Linked DNA regions of Mus musculus: region 2 is reported to be linked to region 1. The links are microRNA targets in miRTarBase. Many come from high-throughput screens and were not tested one by one. Region 1 holds a microRNA gene; the other region holds the end of a gene's coding sequence. Distances are from middle to middle.
The links. Region 1 holds the annotated microRNA mmu-miR-490-3p (CAACCUGGAGGACUCCAUGCUG, at 9,070-9,091, opposite strand). A microRNA usually pairs through its seed, bases 2 to 8, with sites in the 3' UTR of a target mRNA and lowers its output. Matches are read on the target gene's strand: a 7mer-m8 pairs with bases 2 to 8, a 7mer-A1 pairs with bases 2 to 7 and ends in A, and an 8mer does both.

Region 1 (11,642 bases):
ATCGGGAAATGAAGCTAACAATTGGGACAATAATGACACAAAATAAAAGAAAGCAGAGGTAAGAGACTGCGTGTATATTTTTGGATTCCTGATGCAAAGCAGAATATTGAATTAGGCAGGTAAGGAAAGGAGGTAAAGTTGGATTTTGCCTGCCGTGTTTGTGGATCTTTCAAAATAACTTAATTCAGAGTGTGAAAGTGATATTCGATAAGTGACCAGCAATAGAACAGTGAATTACTGGTGCCAACCAGTATCATTCTGCCATTTGGAAATGATCTTTGGGAAACAATCCTGATGTGTGGAGCTGTCAATTACATTTCCTACATGGAAACAGAAAAGCATTCCATTGTAATAGAAAAAGAAGGGAGACAGAATCTTAAGCTCTGCTTCCTGCATGTTCATCCTTTCTCTACACTTCAACTTTGTTCTTCCTGAAAAGAGAACACCCACTTCACAGCATTGCATGTCAACGAAATGTCGCAAAGCTGAGAAGCCCCAGCAGACATTCAGGTGTTCTCTCAAGAGATCTTGTTGATCCCATATCGTTGGAGGGAGATAGAGTTCAGCTGCATGTGCCCAGGGCATCTGCTGATAAGATGTATCTCCATAACAACCAAAGAAATGTGCTTTCAAGACTCCAAGAAACAGAGCTTGCTTTGGTGAGATCTCCAAAGCGCTTTTGCTTCAGAAAGTGCATTCCCTTGAATAACTTCTTCTGATATAAAGCTGGGATTCCACTATCCTCAATAACAAATGGGATAACTCACAATTTATTTTATTATCTTAAAATTTTTTCAATCAGAAAGATGCCAGCCACAAAGAGCATGTTCAAATACTTTATTATAAAATTTAATAGACTAATCTGCTTTATATTATAGACACCTTTAGGTAGATATTGAACACTCATTGAGCTAAATATTTGTCAGTAGATGAACATAAATACATGACTTGATGAATTTATTTTCTGAGTAGCAGATTTTGGGATTTCTCCATCATTTCTCATCTATGTAAGGAAGTAAATAACTCTATTGACACATCATCATTTATTGTGACATGTTATAAGTCTTACAGGAAACTATCAAGATTATCTCAGTGTACATCCCCCCAAGACAGGTGATATTATCACATCATTTCAAGAAGATGATTCTAAAACATAATTTAATTTTGTCAAGTAACAACATTGCATTTGTTTAAAGTTAAGTAGCAGCTTAAGAATTAGTGTTAATGATTAACTATGGGCTTCAGTTACTGTTTCATAATAAATTTCAATAGTGTAGCAAAAATATTACATCTAATAAGTTGTCCAAGAATCAGAAATTCTGGGCCCAAAGGTATTTCTACTGTCCATTCACTGGAGACAAAACGACCTTTCCATGCACAAATAGGAGAGTGATAGATCTGATAAGGCTGTAGTGCTATGAAAGAAATGGACTAAGAAAAAGGGTCAGAGTTTGCTCAGGACAGGGAGCAAATTTGTAGTCTCAAAATCTTATTTTGTTCTTCTATGAAACACATTCTTGGGTGTCATTGAAAATTAGTGAACAATGCTTGTACATTTCTTCTTATTAATGTGGATATATTAAATTACCAGCAACTGTGTGATAAAGCAGTCCCAAATTACATATTACATTACAGAAGAACTCATACACCAAAGGATACATTATATTACAACACAACCCCTACACCAGAGGCTCAGAAAATATCAGATAATAGAGGGTCAAAAGATTATAGGAGAAGAACAAGAAGTCTTCTGTGAGATTGCATTTCCTAGAAATGACAGGGAAGGTGTATATATGAAATCTCAACAACATGGCAGCCTAAACAAGATGTAAACAAGGACAACAATAGGAGATGTGTTAACATCGGAGGGGGAAATATCATGGTGGTCCCATCCCTAGACCAATTACTATAGATAACTAAGGAATGCTGGAAGTGGGTGAAATGGTTGGGGAAGAACTCTGAATTGATTGTCCTAGTTGTCTGCCCTGAAATAACACACACACACACACACAAATACATGGACTGAGCAGGTTATATCTAGATATTTAAGAATATATATGTAACAACAACTAAAGAAAAAGGATCCATGGATGTAAGAGAGAACAAAGATGAGAATACTACCTGGGGGTTGTTTGAAGGGATGAGTGGAAAGAAAAAAAATGATGCAACTATATTTGATTTGAAAAAATAAAATTAACTTAAAAATATGGATATTTCTAACTTATCAGGGGAGCCATTAAAATAATTCTAGCATTTGAATATCATTGTAAGAGAATCACTTGGGAAACTTCTCAAAGTTGATGGAATTACAGCAAAGAATCTAAAAAATACTCTAATAGGTACTCAGTATTTGTTGACTCAGCTATACTTTAAGAGCAGACAAAAGTCAACCTCTAAGAAGTTAAATTCCATTTGCATTTAAGCAAATGCAGCTTGCTTAAAGAAAAGCATAGCATCATTGAAGGAAAAGTTAGAAACTTTTAGTCTTAATTTTTAATTAGTGTTGAATTCTTAGTGTCAACTCATTCCTCTTCCTATAAAAAATATTCCCTCAAGATTATGTAGAAGTTAAGGCTCATGTTTTAATCACATTTATATTGCAAAGACAAAGTTGTACATTCTAAGATATTTCTGTAGTAAGATAAGAAATCACCCTTATCCAACTGTTTTTTTATAACTTTGTATTTTGGAAGGTATTGTTCACAGGGAAAACTATGTTAATATAGGTACAATATGTTTAAAAGTATGGAAAATCTTTGTAGTTCACCTCTTGACCATTTGTGGAGTCTCATCTAGTCAGAGTCCACAGACCTTTTCAAAAATACATTAATAAGACTATATTGTATTTAAAAAATCTAAAGAATAACTAATAAGCATAAATGATATATGATAAAAAAAAGTTATATCAATGGCTTTGAAAGAGGGATAATGTACTAAACAGAGGTGTTTTGATACCATTAAGTTATACAACTAACGGCCAAGTATTTTTACAACCAAATACAATTATTCCACTCACTTATTTCTTCCTGTAAACCTGTGTGTATGGGAAGATATTGCCTGTGGATGAGTGTAAATCAGAGTTCATTCAGCACGAAGCTGAAGAACATGACTGTGAGTCAGCCCCCAAGGGAAATGGTTGTACAACTTTAAACAAATTACTTACTACATTTTCCAATCCTATCCCATCACGTATGGATCAAGAATAATGACATCATAGTTATAAAATGATAAACCTATAAAATACATAGACAACTTCTAAATGTGCAGCAAGTGACATATTTTATATTTATGGAATGTATGTATGTAAACATGTATGGGTATGTATAGTTTGTGGATTTTAGTATATGTATAAGATGTTATCAGTTATGAAAATAGCACATTATTACATCACATAAATTAGATATATTTATCAATGGCTATGATATATTAAGGAATGGGATAGCAACTTTTATCCAGAGCATTAATGAAATCCAGTTCTTAGTTGAGGTAAAACAATTTACAATGTGTAACTTAAGATCACTCCATTGCAAGACATTGCTTTTTCTTTCTTCTCATACATAAAGGCTATTGGAATGTAAATGACTAGAAACAGATACAGGTTTCCCCAGAAGTGACAGAAACCACACAAAATCTGTTCTACTGTGCAGGAACAGAATTAGAATATTGTGAAAACTAGATTATGGAGTCATGAGTAAAATCAAAACACACCATTTTGAATGAAAATCGAGTGGCTTTTTGGATGACTTAATTTGGAAACAAATTCTATTTCTCTCTGTCTCTCTCTCTGTCTCTCTGTCTCTGTCTCTGTCTCTGTCTCTCTCTGTCTCTGTCTCTGTCTCTGTCTCTGTCTCTCTCTCTCTCTCTCACACACACACACACACACACACACACACATACACCCTAGTTTTGACTAGCCCACCGAGCCTAAGAATGCTACAATCAGGAACAGTAAATACTCATCATCAATGATACATTAATGCACAGAGATGAGAAACACTAAGGAATCCAGATCTGAGCATGTCGCTGAGGGGTGAGGGCAATGATGTCTGAGCGGTATGTGAAGAATTGAAAGTATCTGCACACTTCCAATTATGTTTCCTTTCATGTCCTACCTTAGTAAATGTGGGAGGCTTTATTCTGAGAATTTCGAAATGAAAAGAGTCTCACATCTTAAAATGGTGACAGGTGTACTAAACGAGACAATAAAGCACTGGATGCTTTCATATCAGGACCTTAAAGTTCTGAAGGGTGATTGAAAATCCCATTAAAGAAATCATCTCATTACAGCAATAATTACATGGATTCTATTCGAACTCTCACATGAAAAGGAAGCAGCGAGGTCAGGTACACAATGGGATGTTGCTATTTTACTATGCAAATCAAAATAATAGGTAATTAATAACGGCTTAGTACTTAGAAAAAAGTCACTACGTGTAAGGCACTGGATAGTACTTTAGATATTATAGTGAAATAATTATAGGGACATATTTGTGCTTTGTTCAAATCGCTTAAATAGCCTGTCCTCTTTTCCTCCTACTTAGACACCTTTGCTAGTCCTATCTGCAAGCAATCCATCAACTTGGCTAAAAAGCACTCGACATGACTTAGCTATTGTTAAATATCCTTTGTGTGTGTGGAGATATTTGTGTACATACAAAAGACATCAAAGAGCTGTTTCTCCTTTCTCGCCTTCCAGATGTGAGTGACTCCCTTCGCCATGGTACCCTACTCTGATAAGTTCATACATCTATGTATTCTAGGCATAGTCCTTCTCCTAAGTGGCTTGTTTGGAAGTTAGCAAGACTCAGCTCATGTGTCTCCCAAAAGGCAGGTGACTTAAAGTACCATCATACATTTTTACTTTTAGATTTGAGTAAAAGAGTAAATGCAAATAATTTACATATGTAAGAATAACTGGATGCTTATTACGCTTTACGTCTACAATGTTGTTTCACTACGTTCCTGCTAGTAACCTGATGGGAACTCACAGGGTACTTGGTAAAGCCTTTCCTACATTGCCAAGGATGTCAGACAAATGATTCTGAAGAAGAGATGATGAAGCACCATGGAAGGAAAGAACAGAGAGTCAGAAGATGGAGGAGTGCAGTCCTGGGCCAAGAGTGCAGAGGTCTGTATCCCTTTTCATAGGTCCTGACAATGCTTTTAAAGTCAGGAGAAATGAAAGTTCTGGAAGAGGCAAAGTGGATCACTTTCAGTTTTATGCTAAAAATTATTCTTTCCTAGATATAAGAATACAGAGCTTGGGTGAAATGCAGAAACAAAAACACTTCATGAATACGCTAGAGTACCTCGAACTGGTTCTTCTCGGTGCCCCCAGCATCAGCTCAAGTGAAAAGCTAAGGATATTTTAGAAGAGCACCTGTGGGGTAAGTGATGGCTTCTTATGTTCTCTTGGGGTGAACCATGTCAGTCAAGGCACTAAGGCTTCTGAATCCGGATCCATCTGCTACCCAAAAAAATATTTATAGGCATGATGGTAGAGACCGAACTCAAGATTGTTATAGTCACCTGACATATTATATGAAGGACAGCTAAAGACAAAAAATGGGCATTGGCTCAGGAAATAACAAGTTCAATAAAACTAAGTATTAAAACCACTTACCAGAAGTTGAGTCACAATGAAAGAACTTAGAAATGGGTTTTTTCCTAGAAAGACTTGTAATCACAGTAGTGAGGCAAGGAGTGATAAGTCGTGTTGCCCTACAACGCAACTAATGGAAAATACACTAATCAAAGCAAGTGTTTACACACATGAATGAATGAATGAATGAATGAATGAAGTGTTAATCAGTAAAAATTTGACAAAATTACCATATTATATTAGCAAAGGTCTGAAACTATGTGTAAGAGAAATAAAAACTAAATAAAAACCTCATCAATGCACATTTTCATAACTGTCAAAAAATAAAATGAGGCAATAGAGATCTTTGTTGTAAAATTAGGAACCGAGCTTTTAAATGGTAAATGTCCTCCACTGATTTGAGAGAGGCAGAAGACACTGAGGAAGAAATAGATCACAAGACAAGTTCAAAATGGAAGTATAAAATAAAGTGAGAAATACACAAAAACTCAGGGAGGAAGAGAATGCCCAGAAAACAAAAAATTAAAAATAGGGGAAAGAAATACAATCAAAACATATCGTTCCCAAAAATTTAAAAGTATTTTTACACATTAATCAGAGTTGCTGAAAGGGGAGGCATAACAGGCAATAAGATGACTGTTGGGTAAACTGATGTTACGGGGATGTGGACTAGATGAGATTGAGAACAGAATTAATAATTAACTATGGGCAAATTCAAAATATATTTTAAAAGATAGAATTTGATTATATTTGGCCAAAATACAATAGGTGTTAGAAATGAGACTACAACTAGAAATCAGGAGGCTTTCATGAGGCAAACAGAAAGAGAAATGAATAATATAATGATTTAGGAATGAGATTAAAACATGGATGTTTGCCTGCCTTTACACTTGTTTATCTATATGCAAGCTACTCTGTATCATTCTACAAAGAAATCAATTTTCAGTGGTCTATGTCCTGAAAACTTGGGAAGTTTCCAATAGAAAGACATTTTAAAGGTACATTCTCCGAAAAAAAATGCAAAAAATTAAAAATATATAATTGACATGAGAAAAAAATTTAAAAGAATGAAGTAATAGAATCCAAGAACTTCAGATTTTAAAGTTCAAATACTTTTCCGAAACAAAAGCCCTCTTATAATTTACAAAAGCAGTTTTTCTTGTGTTGAACGTTTGACTTTGTTGTCATACTATATAACTACACGTATATTATCGCATTAACTTCACAAATAACTGTAAGGTAAATATTTCACTATAAATTGCAGGTGAAGAATTGTAGTGAGGTAGTCTCCTGACTATCATCTGTTTAACTGCAAACAAGTAGTTTAATTAGCTACTCTGCGTTTTAAATAAGACCAGAGACTATAAAAAATAAATCATAGCTCTAATGTTCTAAATACCATGAAATAAAGATTAAAAACAAAGAAAAACAGAAGGAGAGGATAGTCAGGAGAAGGAAGGACAAAAGGAAGGTAAGGAGAGGGGGGTGGTTACCAACTGATGAAATTAAATTAAGAAATAAATATCTTTAGGCACTTATAAAAATAAAGGCAAAAGTAATGCATTTTTATGATTTTATATCATATAAAAACTTATCAGTATTTGATGAACAAAACAAAATGAGGGGTGAAAAGTAGACAATTCAGGAAATAATTTGTATAATCATGGGTATAATTATCTGATAAAATTGTGTTTTTATTACATGGATAATCAACACAAAATCTATAGTCTTCCAAAATATCTATAAAATATTAATATTAAAATTGTTTAAGAAGATACTACTAAAAAGATTTAAATTTTTTTCTTTTCATGTGCATAGATATGCTTATGTAGACACACGTGTACAGGGATGCGAGCCTATGGGTGTGGGTGTGCAAGCCAGAGGATGATATCACTAATCCTCCTTGATATTTCTTTAACCTCATTCTTTGAGGCTGGGTCTCTCAAACCAATTGCTTGCTGACAGGACAGGTCTCACCTGCCAGTTTTCTCTGGGGAATCTCTGTGTCTGCCTTCTCAGACTGAAATCCAGGGGACTCACTACATTTACCTGGCTCTTATGTGGGTCCTGGGGCCCCAAACTCAGGTTCTCATGTTTGGGTAGCAAGTGCTTTAATGACTAAGTGATCTTCCCAGCCAAACAGTAAAAAATTCCTAGGCAATAGTTGCTCCTTGTTTATGAAAACATTCAGAGGTAGAGCCATTGGAGCATTAGTGCAGTGCTCATTTGCAGTGTGTATAAACTCTCTAATGCTACTAAGAGGGAGGCAGTGATTAATTTCATATACTCAGTGAGACTTTTACAGAAGTATGGGCTAATATTACTCAAAATTTAATATAAAAACCTTTAACTTAGTTTGTACATGAAGCTTTAGCAAAATATCAGCAAGTAGAATTCAACAATTTATTAAAAGTAACATCACAACAATTGTTGCTACCGTATTTTATCAATATGATACCAACATAACAGTCCCAACAGAAAACCACAGACATGATATATCTGAATGCGGTAAGACTAAAACATTTCATAAAAATCAGTTGCTTAAGATCATATAGGACACCTACCTTAAAGAAAACCCCAATGCAACGCACTGTTGAGAGAAAGGTGCGAATCTCATGAAACTGCATCAGGATAACTGTTTTAATCTAACTGAATATTACAGTATTTCCCACTCATTCATAGTTTCATTTTCAAAACTTCCAAGCTTTGCAGATAACCATCTTCTGAAAATATTAAATGAAAAATTCCAGAAATAATTTCCAATTTTTAAGTAAGGATTTTTCTTAAATGTGGTCTGCCACTATGCTATACTTATTCTATTTTATTATTAGTTTTTGTTGTGGATCAATTATTTGTAGACTGAACTTTGCCATTAATATTCATAAATAGGAAAGCAGTGTTTAATATTATCTGGGGTTTTAGGAATCATTGAATTGTCTTAGACTGTGTTTGACACAAAGAAGAGGGAACTACTGTATTATAAAGCATCCAGGAAAAACATTCTAAAATATATTGAAATACAAAATTGATATGTATTCATTATGAAACAAAATCCATTTTTCATTAGTAGAAAATAGCTTGCTGCTACATTATCTTCTGATATTTAATAACTTTAAGTTTTAGAAAATAGCTTCTTTAGGTATCAGACTCACCATTACTAGAATTCATTTGAGACATAATTGAAATTCCCAATTGAGATTGTAATTATACTTTTCTCAGTTTTGACTGGCTTTTGAAAAGATCACCATTTTACACTTGTGTCCTAAAAGACTATCTTGTGACAGTAGGTTAACCAATTCCACAAAATAATACGTGGTTTTGATGCAGAAATGTGAGCTTTGCCTCCATTTCTGAAAATGAATAGCAGGGTTCCCTGGTGTTGGAGATTGCATAACACTACAAAAGACTCCTCCAGTTTACTTCCTGGGAGATGGAGTTAGAAGTTCCGCTGCTTGTGAACAGCTCAACAGCATGGAGTCCTCCAGGTTGGTGTATATCTAAACGTGACCCACCTGGAGATCCATGGTGTCGAACAATGAACTTTCCAAATCAGCCAGGCTTCCATAAAGTGTGGAGCGTTCCTCTTCACCAGCGATGCTCGAAGAACCCGCATCCCGCACCTATCGATCCCCGAGCCGTTCTCATCATTGCCTCTTTTATCATCACCCTCCATTTCTAGAATGTTGTCTAAGTTTCTGACTATCCCAAAATAATAAACCCGGGCATGTACACTTTTGCTTTAACAAAGTAGAGTAATCAAGGGAACCAGTAAACATTTGCAAGTAGTGTCAGCCATATCCTAAGAACCTGGAGAGTATACATTTTATTCCGTATAGCTGCTATACAACAAATGCATCAAACCGCTTACGAGACGTTCCAAGTTGCAGTGAAACTCCATATTTCAGTGCTGAGTCCTCTGACTGTTGTTGTCTATACCTGAGCAATTGAGCATGGGTATCTTTACGTTCAAGTGAAAAGCTGTCCTAGACTTGTGGCCTCACCGTCTTGCAATAACCTTATTGAATTGTGGCCTGTCCTCATTCCAGGTTGTCCTAAACGGCACCCCAAATAAGCAACACGACTCTTGTGTTTTCAACTAGTGCTACTGGGCTACACATTTGGTGGGTCTTTGGTGTCTTCTACTGTCTTCCTCAATCACATCTGTTTACTACACACAGAAGGGTACAGTGGCATCTTCTGTGCCCTGCATTAGTAGTTTCTCCAAATACAGCCAGAGTCCCTAGGCTAGACCAAGGCTTGGGTGTGGGGGAGGAGGTAGCAGTGGGAGGGGGGGGAGCACCTGTTTTGAGTAGAGAAGGTTATGTTTATTATCCATATACCTTCTGGCCTGATATTTAAATGCATAAAATTATAGATGAATATCAGTTTTTCAACTAAGAACTAAGACAAACATAAAATGTACATATTCTTTAAAAACATTACAAATTAAATTTTCACTGGTGCCAAACTCACTTTTTAAGTCCAAACTCTTCTGAAACTTACATCAAATTTTAATTCTGACAATGCTTCTGATGATTTTAATAATTGGCAACTGAATGAGTAGACAGACAGACAGACAGATGAGTAGAATACAGGTAGCAAATGCTGGGTGTAGATTAAAAAGTTTTAAAGAATGATATACATATTATAGTATGAATATAAAGTGCTAAATGTTTGTTTTCTATTTGAGCTGAGACTAGGTTTCAATGGGATAGGAGACACACACACACACACACACACACAGAGAGAGAGAGAGAGAGAGAGAGAGAGAGAGAGAGAGAGAGAGAGGGAGGGAGGGAGGGAGGGAGGGAGGGAGGGAGGGAGAGAGAGAGAGAGAGAGAGAGAGAGAGAGAGAGAGAGAACACCAATGATCCAAGAAAGGGAGGCTGAAGAGACAAAGAACTCTTTATTTGTGGAATGGTTAGAACCATCCACACTTCTCTGTATGATTGCATAATGGATTAGGACACTCCTATCTCTGGGTATGTGGACTTAAGTTACATATTGATTCGCTAGAAATTAACACTAGCTGCATCTCAGCAAGTAATTTTGTCTCCAAGACCATATTTCTTCAAGTATTAAGTGGAAAGATGAAAACGGTTTTCCGTGTGGCACATAGAGTGCACAGTGTATACAAGTTCTTTGTAAACATGTGAAGCTGCATGGAGTAATAATTATTAGTAAACTAAATTTAATGAATGAAGCTAAGTAAAAGCTAGAGAGTTGGATTCTTTTAACAATGGAAAAGTACTTGTGTGTTGCTAAAGATAGCAAGTAAAAGATAAAGGAAATATGACAGCAGGGACCGGGTGACAGGGCAGGCGAGATCTGAAGGCCATTGATCCCTGTATCACACTGTCACAGCCTATTTGAGCAGCTGCTGGTCTGTTTGATTCACAGTAGGACAGACCACACATGCTAAGTGCTAAATGCCTGAGTGCATCTTGCACAAAGTCACTATTTATTTGTCTTTTGAATTGTATTTAGTGGGTCTGTGTTCAAATCATTTTGGAAGGCAAAGTCACAGTGACAATGGAAACCTGTCCTTGAGAGTCTGTGATCCTGAAGTGCTTCAGTGCACTTACATCTGAACACAGGTGCAAACCCACGATATCATCTCTGTTGTAAGAACCCAGAGGACAAGAGAAGCTATTGTTAAATTTATTCAAATCCTTGTGAGTTCAAAAAAGATGAGACAGGGTCTCCTTATCTGGTCTTGACTACGCATGCAAAATTGCAATTTTTTTTCTGCCTTAGTACTGAGGTAACAGATATGTGGCATGATTTTCAGCTATGTCTAGATCTTCAAAGAGGGATTCTCAGTTTCTCTCTTTCCAAGGGCACTGAGTTATTGAGTCACACTTTACACCGTAAAAGGCAATCCGCTAGTTTGTGAAAGAAACAATTAAAAACACTGTTCTTATAAATTTTGTTCTTGTATTTGAAAGTTACATTGTTATACATAAATCAGGAATATTGTATCTGTTTATATAACTTGTGAATTGTTATCCACCCACTAATTAAAGTACAACGTGTTGTA
Region 2 (17,337 bases), 86 Mb from region 1:
CCGAGTCTTAAGCAGGACACAGGCTCTTTCTTCAGACTTGCGTTAAAAAGCCGCACTTTTGGAGGGAAGATTTCCCCAGGTTTCCCAATGTGAAGAGCAAGCAAGAAACGCTGAGTGCTGAAAGGAAAGCCGTGTATAAACAGAGACTTTGGCAGCAAGGTCTGACTCTTTCATGTCTGTAGAAAGAATGGAAGAGGAAACTCAGATCCCCCACTTGACCTGAAACTTCCCACTAGAGATCGCCAGGGTCTGGAGGTGCAGCCGTGGTTAAAAGATGAATAAAGTGAAATGAGGTAAAGCCTCTTTTTGGGGGGGGGGGATGTCTTTAGATCAGAGGATGCCCCCTAAGCTTTCCCTCCCTCCCAGTCTGGGTCACCTTACAGCTTCTTTTGCATTACAATGTCCATGGTGGACCCTGCAGGTGGGATTAACTGTGAATTCACAGGGCTGGTGGGGCGTGGGTGCCGCCTGGGTGCCTGGGAGAATAGGGGGTGGGTAGGGTAGGAGGCTTGAGGGGGGAGGAGCAGGACCTACCCTTTAAATCTATCGCCTTGAGCCGTTGGCCTTCAGATAGGCTGATTTGGTTGGTGTCTTGCTCTTTCTGTGGGAAGGCTGCGGCTCACTTCCTTCTGACTTCTTGATAATTTTGCATTAGACATTTAACTCTTCTTTCTATGATCTTTCCTTCTAGACACTGAGTTTTTTGGTTGTTGCCTAAAACCTTTTCAGAAATCCCTTCCCTCGCCATCACACTGACATGAGTGTGGGTCTTCCTGGTCCCCACAGTTTGCCTAGTTCTGAGGAAGCATCGAATTCTGGGAACGCCTCATCAATGCCTGCAGTTTTTCATCCCGAGAACTATTCTTGCTTACAAGGGTCTGCTACTGAGATGCTCTGCACAGAGGCTGGTAAGGAATTCAGTCCCCGAAGAACCCAGTAAATTAGGGTAAGAGTAGAAAAAACGGGCTGAAGGGTTATTGCTTCTTTATGAACCGTAGTAGTCATTAACATAAGCGGGTGTCCTTATCACTCTTCTGGAAACCCCTCTGAGTTTGACCGGTGATACGTTGGCCTTCTAGTCTGAAATAGAGATCCGGGACACAGGACGGAGCAATATAAGGCTCTTGTGTGTATTTGAGAACCTAAATATTTGGGCTCTTTGGAATATGTTCGGGGGCAGTGAGTGGTGTCTTCAGTAGCAGGGAGACCTAACATCCTAGCTTGGAATGAGCACCCCATTTTTTTGGTGAGGTTATACAGTTAGTTTGCAATTTGCCCAAATGGCCGTTTTCTCCAGCAGAAGCAGTTAGCATTTCTCTCAACCTTTGGGAATATGGATGTCACTTAGCAGTTCTGGGTTTGTGAGCTCAGTGCTCCTTCCAAACCCCAAACAAGTGTACACAGTTTAAGTCATTCATTCTTATAGCTAGCATCTGGAGCCAAGGTCTGAAGCTCATTGTCTGTACAGAGTCAGCCCAGTACTCAGGCTTGTAAATGGTAGAACCAAGAGGCTGCTAGGCTGTGTGTGCCACGGTGCTCAGGTGCGTGTTGTGATGCTCGGGTGTGTGCAGCGATGCTCGGGTGTGTGCAGTGATGCTCGGGTGTGTGCAGCGGTGCTTGGGTGTGTGGAGCGCTAGGAAGTGTGTGTCCCCTTTTTTCTGAGCTTTTAAGTTAATGTCTGTCATCTTGATTTTTCTGATTTATGGGTTCAATTTTTGATTTTTTTTTTGTTTGTTTTTTTTTGTTTTTTCGAGACAGGGTTTCTCTGTGTAGCCCTGGCTGTCCTGGAACTCACTTTGTAGACCAGGCTGGCCTCAAACTCAGAAATCCGCCTGCCTCTGCCTCTGCCTCCCTCAATTTTTGATTTTGGAGGTGGGAAAAGTGCTGGGTTAGGAATGAACGGGTGGGGATAGCCTTTGTAAGTGATGTGTGTTTTTAGAGCATGTGTGTAGAGCATGTGTGTTTGTAGTGCGTGCCCCTAGTGCCAGCAGATGGCATAATTTTCCATTTAGAAGCTGCTTTCAGGGCTGTCTACTTATTTGCTAGACTGCAGGCTAACCTCAGCATTGCCATCAGCGTGGAGCACAGATGTCTTCAGTGTAGGAGGTGTCTTCTACCTGCTGCTGGATCTAGGAAATGTTGGGGCAAAGCTTGGTGGAGGAGCACTTGTCTCTTGCTGAAGGCCCTGGAAAAAAACAAAAAAGCTAACCGAAGAGCTAGAGGGTCAAGGATAAGAGAAACGAATTTGGTTAACCGAAATTTTACTCTAGTAATTAATAATTAACTGGACCCTCTGACTGGCTGCTCTTGTACTAGCAGAAAAGATGGTGGGATATTTTTATTTATTTATTTTTTTAAAGATTTATTTATTATATGTAAGTACACTGTAGTTGTCTTCAGACACTCCAGAAGAGGGCGTCAGATCTTGTTACAGATGGTTGTGAGCCACCATATGGTTGCTGGGATTTGAACTCCAGACCTTCGGAAGAGCAGTTGGGTGCTCTTACCCACTGAGCCGTTGGATGCTCTTACCCACTGAGCCATCTCACCAGCCCCAGTGGGATCATTTTAAAATATACCTTTAAAAAAAAATTGGGGGTGGGGGGTGTCTAAACTCAGGACTGTGCATTCCTAACAACAAGTGATTTAACCCTGGAAATTTCCTTAGATAACATTCAGTATAATGGATTTCGTCATGACATTTTTTGTTCATAAATATTAGTTCATCCCTAAATGTTAATGTGTGTGTGTGTGTGTGTGTGTGTATGTATGTATGTATGTATGTATGTATATATGTATGTATGTATAGATATAGCTGACTCAGTGGTAGTAGAGTATGAAAGGTCCCAACAGGATTCTATTCACCCAGCACCATGCAAAAATCTAGGCGAGATAAAAGTCCCCCCAAACCTGAGTCTTTGGATAAACCTCCACTCAGAAGGTAGAGAGGTAGGACCCAGAGAGCAGGCCAGCCTTGGCTACCTGAGACCCTATCCCTTAGAAAGAAAAGAAAACCACAAACATAGACTAGATCCTCTGCTGCCTAAGCTCTTGTGCTGTCTTGTCTGTCTGTCTCTATTTGTTGAGACGGGCTGATCTCAAATTCTCCCATCTCAGCTACTGGAGCAGGGGGGCTTTAGATTTGTGCTACCCACTGTCAGGATCAGAGGTTTACAGTGTAGATGCGGTCACGGTTCTAATGAAGAGGGAGCAGGGAGAAGGGATTGGAAAGAGCAGACTACAAACTCAAACCTGTCTTCATCCTGCCATTGAACTGAGTATTGTTTGGTTAGTTGTCTTTTTTTTTTTTTAAATAGGATTCCCAGGGTCTAATTGTATAATTTAAATAACTAATGAAACTTAAAAACACTGTATGTAGGGCTGGTGAGATGGCTCAACAGGTAAAAGCACTGACTGCCCTTCCCAAAGTCCTGAGTTCAAATCCCAGCAACCACATGGTGGCTCACAACCATCCGTAATGAGATCTGATGCCCTCTTCTGGTGTGTCTGAAGACAGCTACAGTGTACTTACATATAATAATAAATAAATATTTAGCAGAGACATTCTTTTTTTTTTTTAATTAATTAATCCCATGTGGTTGCTGGGAATTGAACTCAGGACCTTCGGAAGAGCAGTCTGCACTCTTAACCTTAACCGCTGAGCCATCTCTCCAGCCCCCTAAGTAGAAACATTCTTAAAAAAAAAAAAAAAAAAAAAAAAAACACTATAAAAGGGAGATCTATGCAAAATGGTGTTACCCAGGGGTGACAAAGTATTCCAAGAATACTTTCCAAAAATTAGGTTTTTCTTGTTACTTAGATCTATGAAGATAATTGCTTTGAAAGTAAATATAGCCGGGCGTTTAATCCCAGCACTTGGGAGGCAGAGGCAGGCGCATTTCTGAGTTCGAGGCCAGCCTGGTCTACAAAGTGAGCTCCAGGACAGCCAGGGCTATACAGAGAAACCCTGTCTCGAAAAAACCAAAAAAAAAGAAAAAAAAAAAAAAAAAAGAAAGAAAGAAAGAAAGAAAGAAAGAAAGAAAGAAAGAAAGAAAGTAAGTAAATATATTAAATGTAACATTTAATTATCTGGGAAAATGATTTATTTGTTTGGTTGGTTTTGTTTTTGTTTTTTTGGTCAGGGTTTCTCTGTGTAGCCCTGGCCATCCTGGAATTTACTTTGTAAAACTGACTGGCCTTTTTAAAATTTATTTATTATATGTAAGTACACTGTAGCTGTCTTCAGACACACCAGAAGAGGGCATCAGATCTCATTACGGATGGTTGTGAGCCACCATGTGGTTGCTGGGATTTGAACTCAGGACCTTCGGAAGAGCAGTCAGTGCTCTTAACCGCTGAGCCATAACCCCCACCCCACCCCGTGAACTGACTGGACTTAAACCCATAATCTGCCTGCTTGAGTGTCCCAAGTGCTGGGACTAAAGGTATGTACCACCATGCCAGGCTGAGAATGTCTTATTTATTAACAAGTTATCTATTTATTTCTAACAGCCTCTCCTCGCCCTTCCTCTGAAGACCTGCCTCTTCAAGGCAGCCCTGATTCTTCTACCAGTCCCAAACAAAAGCTCTCAAGTCCTGAGGCTGACAAGGGCCCTGAGGAGGAGGAGAACAAGGTCCTTGCCAGGAAGCAGAAGATGCGGACTGTGTTCTCTCAGGCCCAGCTGTGTGCACTCAAGGACAGGTTTCAGAAGCAGAAGTACCTCAGCCTCCAGCAGATGCAAGAACTCTCCTCCATTCTGAACCTGAGCTATAAGCAGGTGGGGTCCTTAGAAGTTGCTGTAATGTAACACAATGAGACTGACTTGCTAATGAATCGAACTAACGTCTGGACGTCTCTCTAACTATCCTATCCTCCTATCCTATGCGCCTGTTAAAATCATAATTATGTGATTGATTGATTGATTGATTATGTATAAGTACACTATAGCTGTCTTCAGATACACCAGAAGAGGGCATCAGATCTCATTACGGATGGTTGTGAGCCACCATGTGGTTGCTGGGATTTGAACTCAGGACCTTCGGAAGAGCAGTCAGTGCTCTTAACCGCTGAGCCATCTCTCCAGCCCCAATTATGTGATTTATATATTTCCCAGTTTGTTTCATTGGTTACTTTATCTTCTACTTCACCTCCCACACCCATCCCCAAATCAGGGTCTCACTGTAGCCCTGACTGGTCTCTGTAGACCAGGCTGGGAGAGGTTCACCTGCCTCTGTCTCCTGGGTGCTGGAAATAAAGGTGTGCCTGGCTTTTTTCCTTTCTTTTCTTTTTTAAGATTGTTTATTTTTAAATTCCTTTAGTTCATTGGTGTTTTGCCTGCATGTGTTTGTCTTTGTGAGAGTATCAGATCTCCTGGACTAGAGTTACAGACAGTCGTGAGCTGCCATGTGGCCGCTGAGAATTGAACCCAGGTCCTCTGGAAGAGCAGCCAGTGCTCTTAACAGAAGAGCCATTTCCCCCAGCACCTGTCTTTTTCAAGAAAGAGTTTCACTTTACAGGCCTGGCTGTCATGTTTAAGGTCGGGCTGTAGACCTGTCTGCATTCTGTATGTCTTAGCTTGTTCGAATGTCCTGTCACTCTGCAGGTTAAGACCTGGTTTCAAAACCAAAGGATGAAGTGCAAGCGGTGGCAGAAAAACCAGTGGTTGAAGACTAGCAATGGTCTGATTCAGGTAACAAGATGTTTTCTCTGCTTTCCTTTTTCCCCCTCCATCTTACCATCTTATTTTATGTGTCTGTGCCGTGTGTGTGTGTGTGTGTGTGTGTGTGGCTGACCTATGGCTGTTGGGTATGGATCCCAGATTTCCTGTAAGAGCAGTCAGTGGCTCTGCCTTTGCTTCCCAGTGTCATCCTGATCCATCTATGTCCATTAGTCCTGTCCCTTTCCCATCCCTCTTCCTCCACGCACTCTTTCTTGTGATCTTTGGTTCTTTGAGGCAGGCTCTCTCTATGTAGCCCTGGCAGTCAGAGATCTGCCTGCCTAGTCTCAGGAGTGCTGGGGTTAACGGCCTGTGCGGCCATGCTAATCTTTTCAGTATTTCTGCAGTTTACATCTTTAGAGTCCCCTTTTCACTCATTGCATTAATCACCTCTTTCAGAAGGGCTCAGCACCAGTGGAGTATCCCAGCATCCATTGCAGCTATCCCCAGGGCTATCTGGTGAACGCATCTGGAAGCCTTTCCATGTGGGGCAGCCAGACTTGGACCAACCCAACTTGGAGCAGCCAGACCTGGACCAACCCAACTTGGAACAACCAGACCTGGACCAACCCAACTTGGAGCAGCCAGGCCTGGACCGCTCAGTCCTGGAACGGCCAGCCTTGGAATGCTGCTCCGCTCCATAACTTCGGGGAGGACTTTCTGCAGCCTTACGTACAGTTGCAGCAAAACTTCTCTGCCAGTGATTTGGAGGTGAATTTGGAAGCCACTAGGGAAAGCCATGCGCATTTTAGCACCCCACAAGCCTTGGAATTATTCCTGAACTACTCTGTGACTCCACCAGGTGAAATATGAGACTTACGCAACATCTGGGCTTAAAGTCAGGGCAAAGCCAGGTTCCTTCCTTCTTCCAAATATTTTCATATTTTTTTTAAAGATTTATTTATTCATTATATGTAAGTACACTGTAGCTGTCTTCAGACACTCCAGAAGAGGGCGTCAGATCTTGTTACGTATGGTTGTGAGCCACCATGTGGTTGCTGGGATTTGAACTCCTGACCTTCGGAAGAGCAGTCGGGTGCTCTTATCCACTGAGCCATCTCACCAGCCCCTGGTTTATTTTTTTAATTATTATTTGCTTTTTGTTTATCAAGACAGGGTTTCTCTGCATAGCTCTAATTGTCTTTGAACTAGCTCTGCAGACCAGCCTGGCCTTGAACTCAGAGATCTGCCCACTTATCTTTGCCTCCTGAATGCTGGGACCAAAGGTGGCATACCACCACACCTGGCATATATATTGTTTATTTCTATTTCTATTTTTATTGGTGCCAGAGCAAACCTAGGACTTAGAACATGCTGGGCACCAACTCAACTTCTGAGCTCTATTTACAACTTGGTGTGTTAGTGTATTTGTCTTAGTTCTGAATTTGTCCTTTTTTTAGTGTTAACTCTAGGCTTTGGAGACAGTGAGGTGCATATACTCTCTCCTTCCCAAGAATAAGTGCTTGAACACCCTTACCCACGCCCACCCACCCATGCTAGTCTTTTTTCTTAGAAGCGTGGGTCTTGGTATACACTGTGTCATTTTGAGGGGTGAGGTTTAAAAGTATATACAAAGTATAACGATATGGTGGCTACTCTCGAGGATGAGACAGAAGGACCAGGAGTTTGAGGGTAGCTCAGATATGCAATAAGTTCAAGGCCAACCTGTACTATGTTTAAATAGTAAGACAGCATCTCGATAAAATAATAAAACTAAAGTCTCAACAAAATAAAAGCTTTCACCTATTAAGGTGCTTGCTTGTCCTTGGAGTCCCCCAAGAGTAACTGCTATGTTAATATCTGTAGAAAGATGTTTATATTTGACTGTACCATGATGAACCGATGCCAGCTGGACTAGTTTAAACAAAATAAAACACTAATTTTACCTTTAGTGGTCTTATCTTTTGTCCAGTGGGGTCAATATACTTTTTATTTTGGTATGTGAAGGGGAGGGTCTTAACCGAGGGTCCAGGAAAATGGGTTTCTTTTGGCTTAACCGGTTGGGAGGGTTATACCACAACAGTTGGAATGGCCTGGTAACCAGAGCAGGAGGCCAGCCACTCACAATGCATCCAGTCAAGAACTGGAGAGCAATGAATAAGAAATGAATGTTTTAGTGTGGGTATGGGCCCTGAGGAGGCCAGAAGCATTCGATGATCCCCTGGAGATGAAGTTACGTGAAGCCACCTGATCACCTGATGTGGCAGGCTGCAGGGAAATAAGCTCTAGTTCTCTGGAAGAACAAATATTTAACTGGGAGAGTGGTTTTTATTCCTGTGAAATAATAGAACTTGTGGAGAGAGCCCCTGAGGTCACACACCTAGTGCTTCTGGGAAAGAGGAGGGACCACAGTCTCTTGTTTTTGTGTCACACTGGAGATTAATCTGGGACTTCCTGGCTCCAGATGGAGGCTATCTTCCCTGAGCATAACCCCCTAACCTACGTGGGGGTGGGGGAAGATGTCAAGTGTTATCACAGGAGACTTGAGAGGCTGTGTGGGTTCAGAAGTGAGTTTGGGGTTTTGGAGACGATTTAAATTTGCTGAAAAGACAGAAGATACGTATACATCTGGTGTAGTTGTGTGTACACTTAAGGAGATTAAGTTAACGTAACTCCTGATGCATTAATTATAGATGTTATAGTAGTTGTATACAGTAGATTTAGCTAAAGCATGATACGGAAAAACACAGAAGAAGCAAGCGACACCTAGTAACTGCCGTGCGTAAATAGCCATACCTGTCAATCACATCTTTAACTCCTGACCACTCACAGGGGTACCCAGCCCAGCCCAAGTAGGTTCTGTAGCTGCTCCTCAGCTAAGGAGAGGGCTGTTTTGGCAGTGAGAAAAATTGTCCCTCATTGTGCCACAGAGGCTAGGACACATTCCCTTGCAAAGCCCAGACTAATTCCACCTAGAATTCTCCTCTTCTGCTTTCTGTCCTTTGGCATCAGTGGGGATGGCTGCTGTGTCAGAGATGGGACATCATCACCTCCACAAACCCTGACGACCGTTACTGAGAGACCACTTTGCTTCAACTCTTAGAGGTTTCGTTGATAAGATTCTAAAATGTGTGGTCTTGGGGATCAAATCCAGGGACTCTTAGACCCTGGGTAAGTGCTCTACTACTGAACAACACTCAGTCCTTGGTGTGAGAATCCGAGCTTTGATTTTACCCTTTTTAGGGTGGAAGAGATTCCACCAATCACCCAGGAGTGGGGCTAGTTCAAGAGGCCTCCCCAGCTGCAGCTTTCAGAGGCTTTTTGCTTCAGGCTCCCACCAAGGGACCTATTCAAATGCCTTAGTCAACTGACATCTGAGTCCCAAGCTGTTGCAGGACCCCAGCTGACTTCTTTATTTAACAAATCCTCCTTTTTCCCCTGCTCGGGCTCCTCTCCCTCCTCTGTCTGGCAACTGTCCGCTTTCTCTTTGTAGTTCCCCACCAGGACCTGTTTTCTCTCCACTGTCACCAGGTTTTCTGCCGACTGGGTTTATTCACAACAGAATTAACCTTTTCCTTTACCCAGAGAAGCCAGCCCTTGGAATTCAATGGCAGAGAAGGTCTGTGCTTCTGAGCTTGTAGTTTGCACTGTCCAATTCCGAAGACCCAGGCAAATTTGATCCAGGGTGCTCCGTGTTAGACCTGAGGAAGAAACCAATTCCAAGACTGCCTGATTAAAGCAGGTTTTACTTAGAGGAACAGCAGGAACTGGCCAGCCCATGCACATGAGTAAAACAAGCTTGGTTGGATTAATTTGGCCACGATGGTTTGCGTTAGTGGTCTTCCTTCTCCCAACTTTGGGATTGACATTTGCTCCCTTGGGTTCAAAAAGAAAAGGACAATAAAAACCAGAAAATCGCCCGGCGTGGTAACGCACGCCTTTAATCCCAGCCAGCACTTGGGAGGCAGAGGCAAGCAGATTTCTGAGTTCGAGGCCAGCCTGGTCTACAAAGTGAGTTCCAGGACAGCCAGGGCTATACAGAGAAATCCTTTCTCAGAAAAACAAAACAAAACAAAACAAAACAAAACAAAAACAAAAACAAAAAACAGAAAATCAAGGTAGATTTAACTTTGTATACTCAGACATAAACTGGAGTAACACCCTTCTTTTGGGATGAGAGACAGAGAAAGCAAGAGTTTCTAAGGAAAGAAAAGTGGGGAAAGACAGGCTGGCTTGTGGATGAGTTTTCATTTCAGTTTCTCTCTTATCAGGTTAACTTGATGCTCAGCCAGTCTATGGGGGAGGGAGGGATGAATCCTTCAGTTGGATTCACACCTTTCCTCTTTCTTTCTTTCTTTCTTTCTTTCTTTCTTTCTTTCTTTCTTTCTTTCTTTCTTTCTTTCTTTCTTTTTTTCTTTTTCATGACTGTGTCAAGCTCTGAAGGTGACTTATTATCGTAAATTAAAAATAAATAATTTGGGGCTGGTGAGATGGCTCAGTGGGTAAGAGCACCCAACTGTTCTTCCGAAGGTCCTGAGTTCAAATCCCAGCAACCACATGGTGGCTCACAACCATCTGTAACAAGATCTGACGCCCTCTTCTGGAGTGTCTGAAGACAGCTACAGTGTACTTACATATAATAAATAAATAAATCTTTAAAAAAAATAAATAATTTAGGGGCTGGAGGAATGGCTCAGCAGTTAAAAGCACCCTCTGCTCTTCCAGAGGAATTGCGCTCAGTCCCCTGCAGCCAGGGCAGTTGGCTTCACACCCCTTGTAACTCTGGGTCCAGGGGTTGCTGTGCCTCTCTGGCTTGCTTAGGCACCTGTACACATCTACATGTAACCGATACTCAAACAACTAACACACACACACACACACACACACACACACACACACACACACACACACACACACATACAGTTAATTGCTAAATAACATAAATTACAGGAAAAACTACCTACAAAAAAATGGTGGTAAACACAGGCTTTGGAGTGTCTTTGAAGCTCACTAAATATTTTTATTTTCCTAATAAACCATCTCCAGCTGTATCACTAAAAAGGGTAGCTGGGGCTTAGGGGGAGATAGTAACAGAGTAAAAGAGTGATTCTCTCTCTCTCTCTTTCACAATTTATTTATTTATTAAAGATTTTATTTATTTATTATATGTAAGTACACTGTAGCTGTCTTCAGATCTCATTACAGGTGGTTGTGAGCCCCCATGTGGTTTCTGGGAATTGAACTCAGGACCTTAGGAAAAGCAGTCAGTGCTCTTAACCACTGAGCCATCTCCTGATTGTCTCTTTTAATTTTGTGTAATATTTTATAGCTTTTGTTGCTTTAAGCTGAGAAAAACAGAAAAGGAAGGAAGAAAGAAAGAAAGAAAGAAAGAAAGAAAGAAAGAAAGAAAGAAAGAAAGAAAGAAAGACCTTAATCTTTGGACAGGCATCGTAGCAGCATCTGTAGTCCCAGTAGTCCCAGCGCTAAGGAGACAGAAGCAGGTAAGCAAATGCCAGTGAGTTCAAGGCCTACCTGCTCTGTATAGTGAATTTCAGGCTAACCAAGGCTGCATGGTGAGATACTGCCTCAAAAACAACAACAATAAAACCCAAGACTGGGCCCACAAGATGCCTCAGTGGGTAGAAGGGCTTGCCACAAGCCTAGCTTGTTGGCTTGCATCCAATCTCTTGGGTCCACAAGATGGACAGAGAGGAAACACTCCACAGACCTGCCCTCTGACCTCTGCACACAGGCCATAGCATACACCTCTCCCTGACTTCCCAAAGTAAATAAATGCAATCACAGGCTGGAGAGATGGCTCAGCAGATAAGAGCACTAACTGCTCTTCTGAAGGTCCTGAGTTCAAATTCCAGCAACTACATGGTGGCTCACAACCATCCGTAATGAGATCTGATGCCCTCTTCTGGGGTGTCTGAAGACAGTTACAGTGTACTTACATATAATAATAAATAAATCTTTACAAAAAAATGTAATCACTAACAGAAACTCCTCAAATACAGCAACCATCATTAATCAATGTCCTGATTAGCTACCTGGATTTCCTCTTTTCTCCTTGTTATTTTCGTTGCTTTTGTCTCTCCTGGACCTCATTGTGTAGACTAGGCTGGCCTTAAACTCACAGAGATATGCCAGCCTCTGCCTGTCTAGTGCTGGGATTAAAGGCCTATTCCAAGGCCACCTAAAGTGTCTGTTAAATCAACCATGGATAGATTAAGAGAAGTATGATTGAGTCTAACGTTTAGTTTTTCTCTCTCTCTTTTTTTTTTTTTTTTTAGGATTTGCCTAAATAAATTAATTTAATTAAAGTAAACAAACTCCCCACAAAACTGGCTGAGCTTAGGCTGGGCCTGGTGCACATTTTCATGGGAACAAAATAATGAATGATTAAATTCTTGGACTTTAGATACTGTCTTGCTTTTTAAAAAATATTTACATCATCATTATTATTATCATTACTGTGTGTGTATATGTGAATGCCATCTGTATAGAGGCAACATCAGATCTCTGGAGCTGGATTTGTAAGTGTTTGTGAGCCAATGGACTTGGGTGCTGAGAACTGAACTTGGACCCCTCTACAAGAATCCTCTTGGACTCTGTAGACCAGGCTGCCCTCGAACTCACAGAGATCTTCCTGCCTCTGCTTCCTGAGTGCTAAGATTAGAGGCTTACACTATGAAACCTGGTTGACCTGGGGTCTTTGTAAGCCCACACTCATTCTCAGTGGGCGTGGGCATCACTCTCTCCTGAGCAAATCTGTCCCTTAACCCACAGGCTTTATGCTTATGTTAAAATATCTTAGATGTTGGGTGGTGTTGGCTCATGCCTTTAATCCCAGTACTTGGGAGATAGACATAGGCTTGAGGCCAGCCTGTTCTACAAAGTGAGTTCCAGGACAGCCAGGGTTACACAGAGAAACCCTGTCTTGAAAACCAAACCAAACCAAACCAACCAACCAACCAAACAAACAAACAAAAATTTATTTCTGGGCATGTGGTGACACATGCTTTTAAACCCAGCACTTATAGGAACCTGAGGCAGGAGAATCTCAGGCCATACAGGCCTCCATAGTGAGACCTTGTCTTAAAACAAAATAAACAACAACAAGATATTATCATTAAATGCCGATGTACTTCAAAGAGAAAAGTAATGGGGCCTCATTATATTCCCTTGGTTGGTCCTTTATGTCTGAGCTCAAGGGAGCCTTCTGGCTCAGTCCTTCCAGTAGCCAAGACTACAGGTGTTAGCCACTGTCCTTGGCTTACATGAACAGTTTTAAAGGTGAAATTAACTTAAGTTCCTATTGCACAATTGGGTCTGGAACCCAGGGCCCCACATATGCTCTCTCGCCCCTGAAACTATACCTCCAATCCTGAAATCTGGATCCTAAACCAGACTAGACTGTCTGGCTTTGGGCAGAGCCACAGAAGGAATCTTAAACTTACTGGAGGATAGCAGCTCCCCCTACCGGTCCCCTGTGGCATTGGACTCACCAGTCTCTAAATTGTCTTCCAGTTTAACTTCATGGCTGATAAGAGGAGGAGAGATACCCACAAATTCCTCAACTACATGTGGTTTCAGGTGGCAATCAGTGACAAGGGTGGGCTAGGAAGACATACTTGGTGAACTAAAGGGTCTTCTCAAGACTCAGATAGAGCTCAAAGAGGAGAAAGGGATGAAAAGCTTAACAGAAAAAGAATCACAGCTGGGCGTGGTGGCGCACGCCTTTAATCCCAGCACTCAGGAGGTAGAGGCAGGTTCTGAGTTCGAGGCCAGCCTGGTTTACAAAATGAGTCCCAGGACAGGCAGAGCTATACAGAGAAACCCTGTCTCAAAAATAAAAGAATCAGGGGCTGGCGAGATGGCTCAGAGGGTAAGAGCACTGACTGCTCCTCCAAAGGTCCTGAGTTCAAATCCCAGCAACCACATGGTGGCTTACAACCATCTGTAATGAGATCTGACGCCCTCTTCTGGTGTGTCTGAAGCCAGCTACAGTGTACTTACATATAATAATAAATAAATCTTTAAAAAAAATCAGCGTGACTCTAACTAAGGAAGTGAAAGATCTGTATGATAAAATCTCTGAAGAAAGAAATTAAAGAAGATCTCAGAAGATGGAAAGATCTCCCATGCTCATAGATTGGCAGGATCAACATTGTAAAAATGGCTATCTTGCCAAAAGCAATCTACAGATTCAATGCAATCCCCATCAAAATTCCAAATCAATTCTTCAACGATTAGAAGGAGCAATTTGCAAATTCATCTGGAATAACAAAAAACCTAGGATAGCAAAAACTCTTCTCAAGGATAAAAGAACCTCTGGTGGAATCACCATGTCTGACCTAAAGCTTTACTAAAGAGCAATTGTGATAAAAACTGCATGGTACTGGTATAGAGACAGACAAGTAGACCAATGGAATAGAATTGAAGACCCAGAAATGAACCCACACACCTATGGTCACTTGATCTTCGACAAGGGAGCTAAAACCATCCAGTGGAAGAAAGACAGCATTTTCTTTTTTTTTTTTTTTTTGGTCTTTCTTTTTTTTTTTTTTTTTTTTTTTAAACAACATTTTTTTTAGATTTATTTATTTATTATAAGTAAGTACACTGTAGCTGTCTTCAGACACTCCAGAAGAGGGCGTCAGATCTCGTTACGGATGGTTGTGAGCCACCATGTGGTTGCTGGGATTTGAACTTCGGACCTTCGGAAGAGCAGTCGGGTGCTCTTACCCACTGAGCCATCTCACCAGCCCAGAAAGACAGCATTTTCAACAATTGGTGCTGGCACAACTGGTTGTTATCATGTAGAAGAATGCGAATCGATCCATACTTATCTCTTTGTACTAAGGTCAAATCTAAGTGGATCAAGGAACTTCACATAAAACCAGAGACACTGAAACTTATAGAGGAGAAAGTGGGGAAAAGCCTTGAAGATATGGGCACAGGGGAAAAATTCCTGAACAGAACAGCAATGGCTTGTGCTGTAAGATCGAGAATTGACAAATGGGACCTAATGAAACTCCAAAGTTTCTGCAAGGCAAAAGACACCGTCATTAAGACAAAAAGACCACCAACAGATTGGGAAAGGATCTTTACCTATCCTAAATCAGATAGGGGACTAATATCCAACATATATAAAGAACTCAAGAAGGTGGACTTCAGAAAATCAAATAACCCCATTAAAAAATGGGGCTCAGAACTGAACAAAGAATTCTCACCTGAGGAATACCGAATGGCAGAGAAGCACCTGAAAAAATGTTCAACATCCTTAATCATCAGGGAAATGCAAATCAAAACAACCCTGAGATTCCACCTCACACCAGTCAGAATGGCTAAGATCAAAAATTCAGGTGACAGCAGATGCTGGCGTGGATGTGGAGAAAGAGGAACACTCCTCCATTGTTGGTGGGATTGCAGGCTTGTACAACCACTCTGGAAATCAGTCTGGCGGTTCCTCAGAAAATTGGACATATTACTACCGGAGGATCCAGCAATACCTCTCCTGGGCATATATCCAGAAGATGCCCCAACTGGTAAGAAGGACACATGCTCCACTATGTTCATAGCAGCCTTATTTATAATAGCCAGAAGCTGGAAAGAACTCAGATGCCCCTCAACAGAGGAATGGATACAGAAAATGTGGTACATCTACACAATGGAGTACTACTCAGCTATTAAAAAGAATGAATTTATGAAATTCCTAGCCAAATGGATGGACCTGGAGGGCATCATCCTCAGTGAGGTAACACACTCACAAAGGAACTCACACAATATGTACTCACTGATAAGTGGATATTAGCCCAAAACCTAGGATACCCAAGATATAAGATACAATTTCCTAAACACATGAAACTCAAGAAAAATGAAAACTGAAGTGTGGACACTATGCCCCTCCTTAGAAGTGGGAACAAAACACCCTTGGAAGGAGTTACAGAGACAAAGTTTGGAGCTGAGATGAAAGGATGGTCCATGTAGAGACTGCCATATCCAAGGATCCACCCCATAATCAGCATCCAAACGCTGACACCATTGCATACACTAGCAAGATTTTATCGAAAGGACCCAGATGTAGCTGTCTCTTGTGAGACTATGCCGGGGCCTAGCAAACACAGAAGTGTATGCTCACAATCAGCTAATGGATGGATCACAGGGCTCCCAATGGAGGAGCTAGAGAAAGTACCCAAGGAGCTAAAGGGATCTGCAACCCTATAGGTGGATCAACATTATGAACTAACCAGTACCCCGGAGCTCTTGACTCTAGCTGCATATGTATCAAAAGATGGCCTAGTCGGCCATCACTGGAAAGAGAGGCCCATTGGACTTGCAAACTTTATATGCCCCAGTACAGGGGAACGCCAGGGCCAAAAAGGGGGAGTGGGTGGGTAGGGGAAGGGGGGTGGGTGGGTATGGGGGACTTTTGGTATAGCATTGGAAATGTAAATGAGCTAAATACCTAATAAAAAATGGAGAAGGAAAAAAAAATCAGTCCTTAAATAAAAAAATCATTTTTATTTTCTGTGTATGAGTATTTTGCCTGCATGCCAGCATGTATGTATGTGTGTATGTATGTATGTATACATATATGTATATGTGTAAAATACATATGTGTGTATATATATGTTATATATATATATACATATAAACATTATATATATATCATATATATAATATACATATGCATACACACATATGATATATAAAATACTGGTCCTGTAACCTGTAAGGCCATTTGGGATATAGAAACAGAAAAATCAAAGGTTCAAAGGTATTCTTTGCTGCATATCTAATTTGAGGCCAACTTGTGATACATAAAATACACACACACACACACACACACACACACACACACACACACGCACACACACATAGAAAAGAAAAGACAAGACAAGAATAATCACTAACGAGACAAAAAGCACTCATTATCCACACACAGCTGAGTCCAGTGGTAAATCTTTTCACTGTGAGGAAATAAGTCACTCATAATGAAAACAGTTCTGATTCAGATATTAAGATAAAAATGCAATTAGCAGCAAAGATGGTTAATGTTTAAGTCCCTTGGGCAAACATCACCTCTTTATAGATGTTAGTGTGACTCTGTTCTTCCGAAGGCTCCTGCTTCTGGATTTATGAGGATATTAGATTTCTTCTGCTGCATGTCTATAATCAGCACAGTTTCCCAGCAACCACTTATAAGAAGGTCCACCTCTCTGCTAAGCACCAGAAGGCTAAACTCCGGAAGCCTTTCTTCTCTTGTGATGATTGATCTTAAAGTAATCCCTGTATGTTTCAGTGTGGGAACAATGTATACTTTTATTTAAAGGGCCGGAGAACTGCCCAAGGTCCTGACTCTCAAACATTGTGCTTTGTTGCATGATGTGATGGCTATTCCTGGTTGCCAGCTTGATTACATCTGGAATGAACCACAATCCAGAAATGGAGGGCACATTACCCAAGTTTTGAAGTAGGAAGTCACAAACCTTTGACGCAGATTTAAAAAAAAAAAAAAAGATTTATTTTTGTATATGAGTACTCTGTCTGCATGTACACCTATGCATCAGAAGAGGTCATCAGATCCTATTATAGATGGTTGTGAGTCACCATACCTTGTTGGGAATTGAATTTAGGAAGTGCTCTTTTCCACTGAGACATCTCTCCAGTC

Region 2: the mRNA of Nanog is a reported target of mmu-miR-490-3p. Seed matches in the 3' UTR shown: 7mer-m8 at 6,568-6,574.

What each region holds. Positions count from the first base shown.
Region 1 is chr6:36,419,249-36,430,890 of GRCm38, reverse strand. It overlaps Mir490 (microRNA 490), which reads right to left and starts at 9,149; the gene lies at 9,066-9,149. The region is part of intron 2 of Chrm2 (cholinergic receptor, muscarinic 2, cardiac); the gene reads right to left.
Region 2 is chr6:122,707,026-122,724,362 of GRCm38, forward strand. It overlaps Nanog (Nanog homeobox), which reads left to right and starts at 540. Exons shown (of 4, transcript NM_028016.3): 1 at 540-908; 2 at 4,513-4,778; 3 at 5,604-5,690; 4 at 6,117-7,608. The coding sequence starts at 758. The coding sequence ends at 6,530. RefSeq lists promoters at 1-754, 236-617, 280-685, 348-574, 490-680, cis regulatory regions at 333-338, 424-431 and an enhancer at 376-413.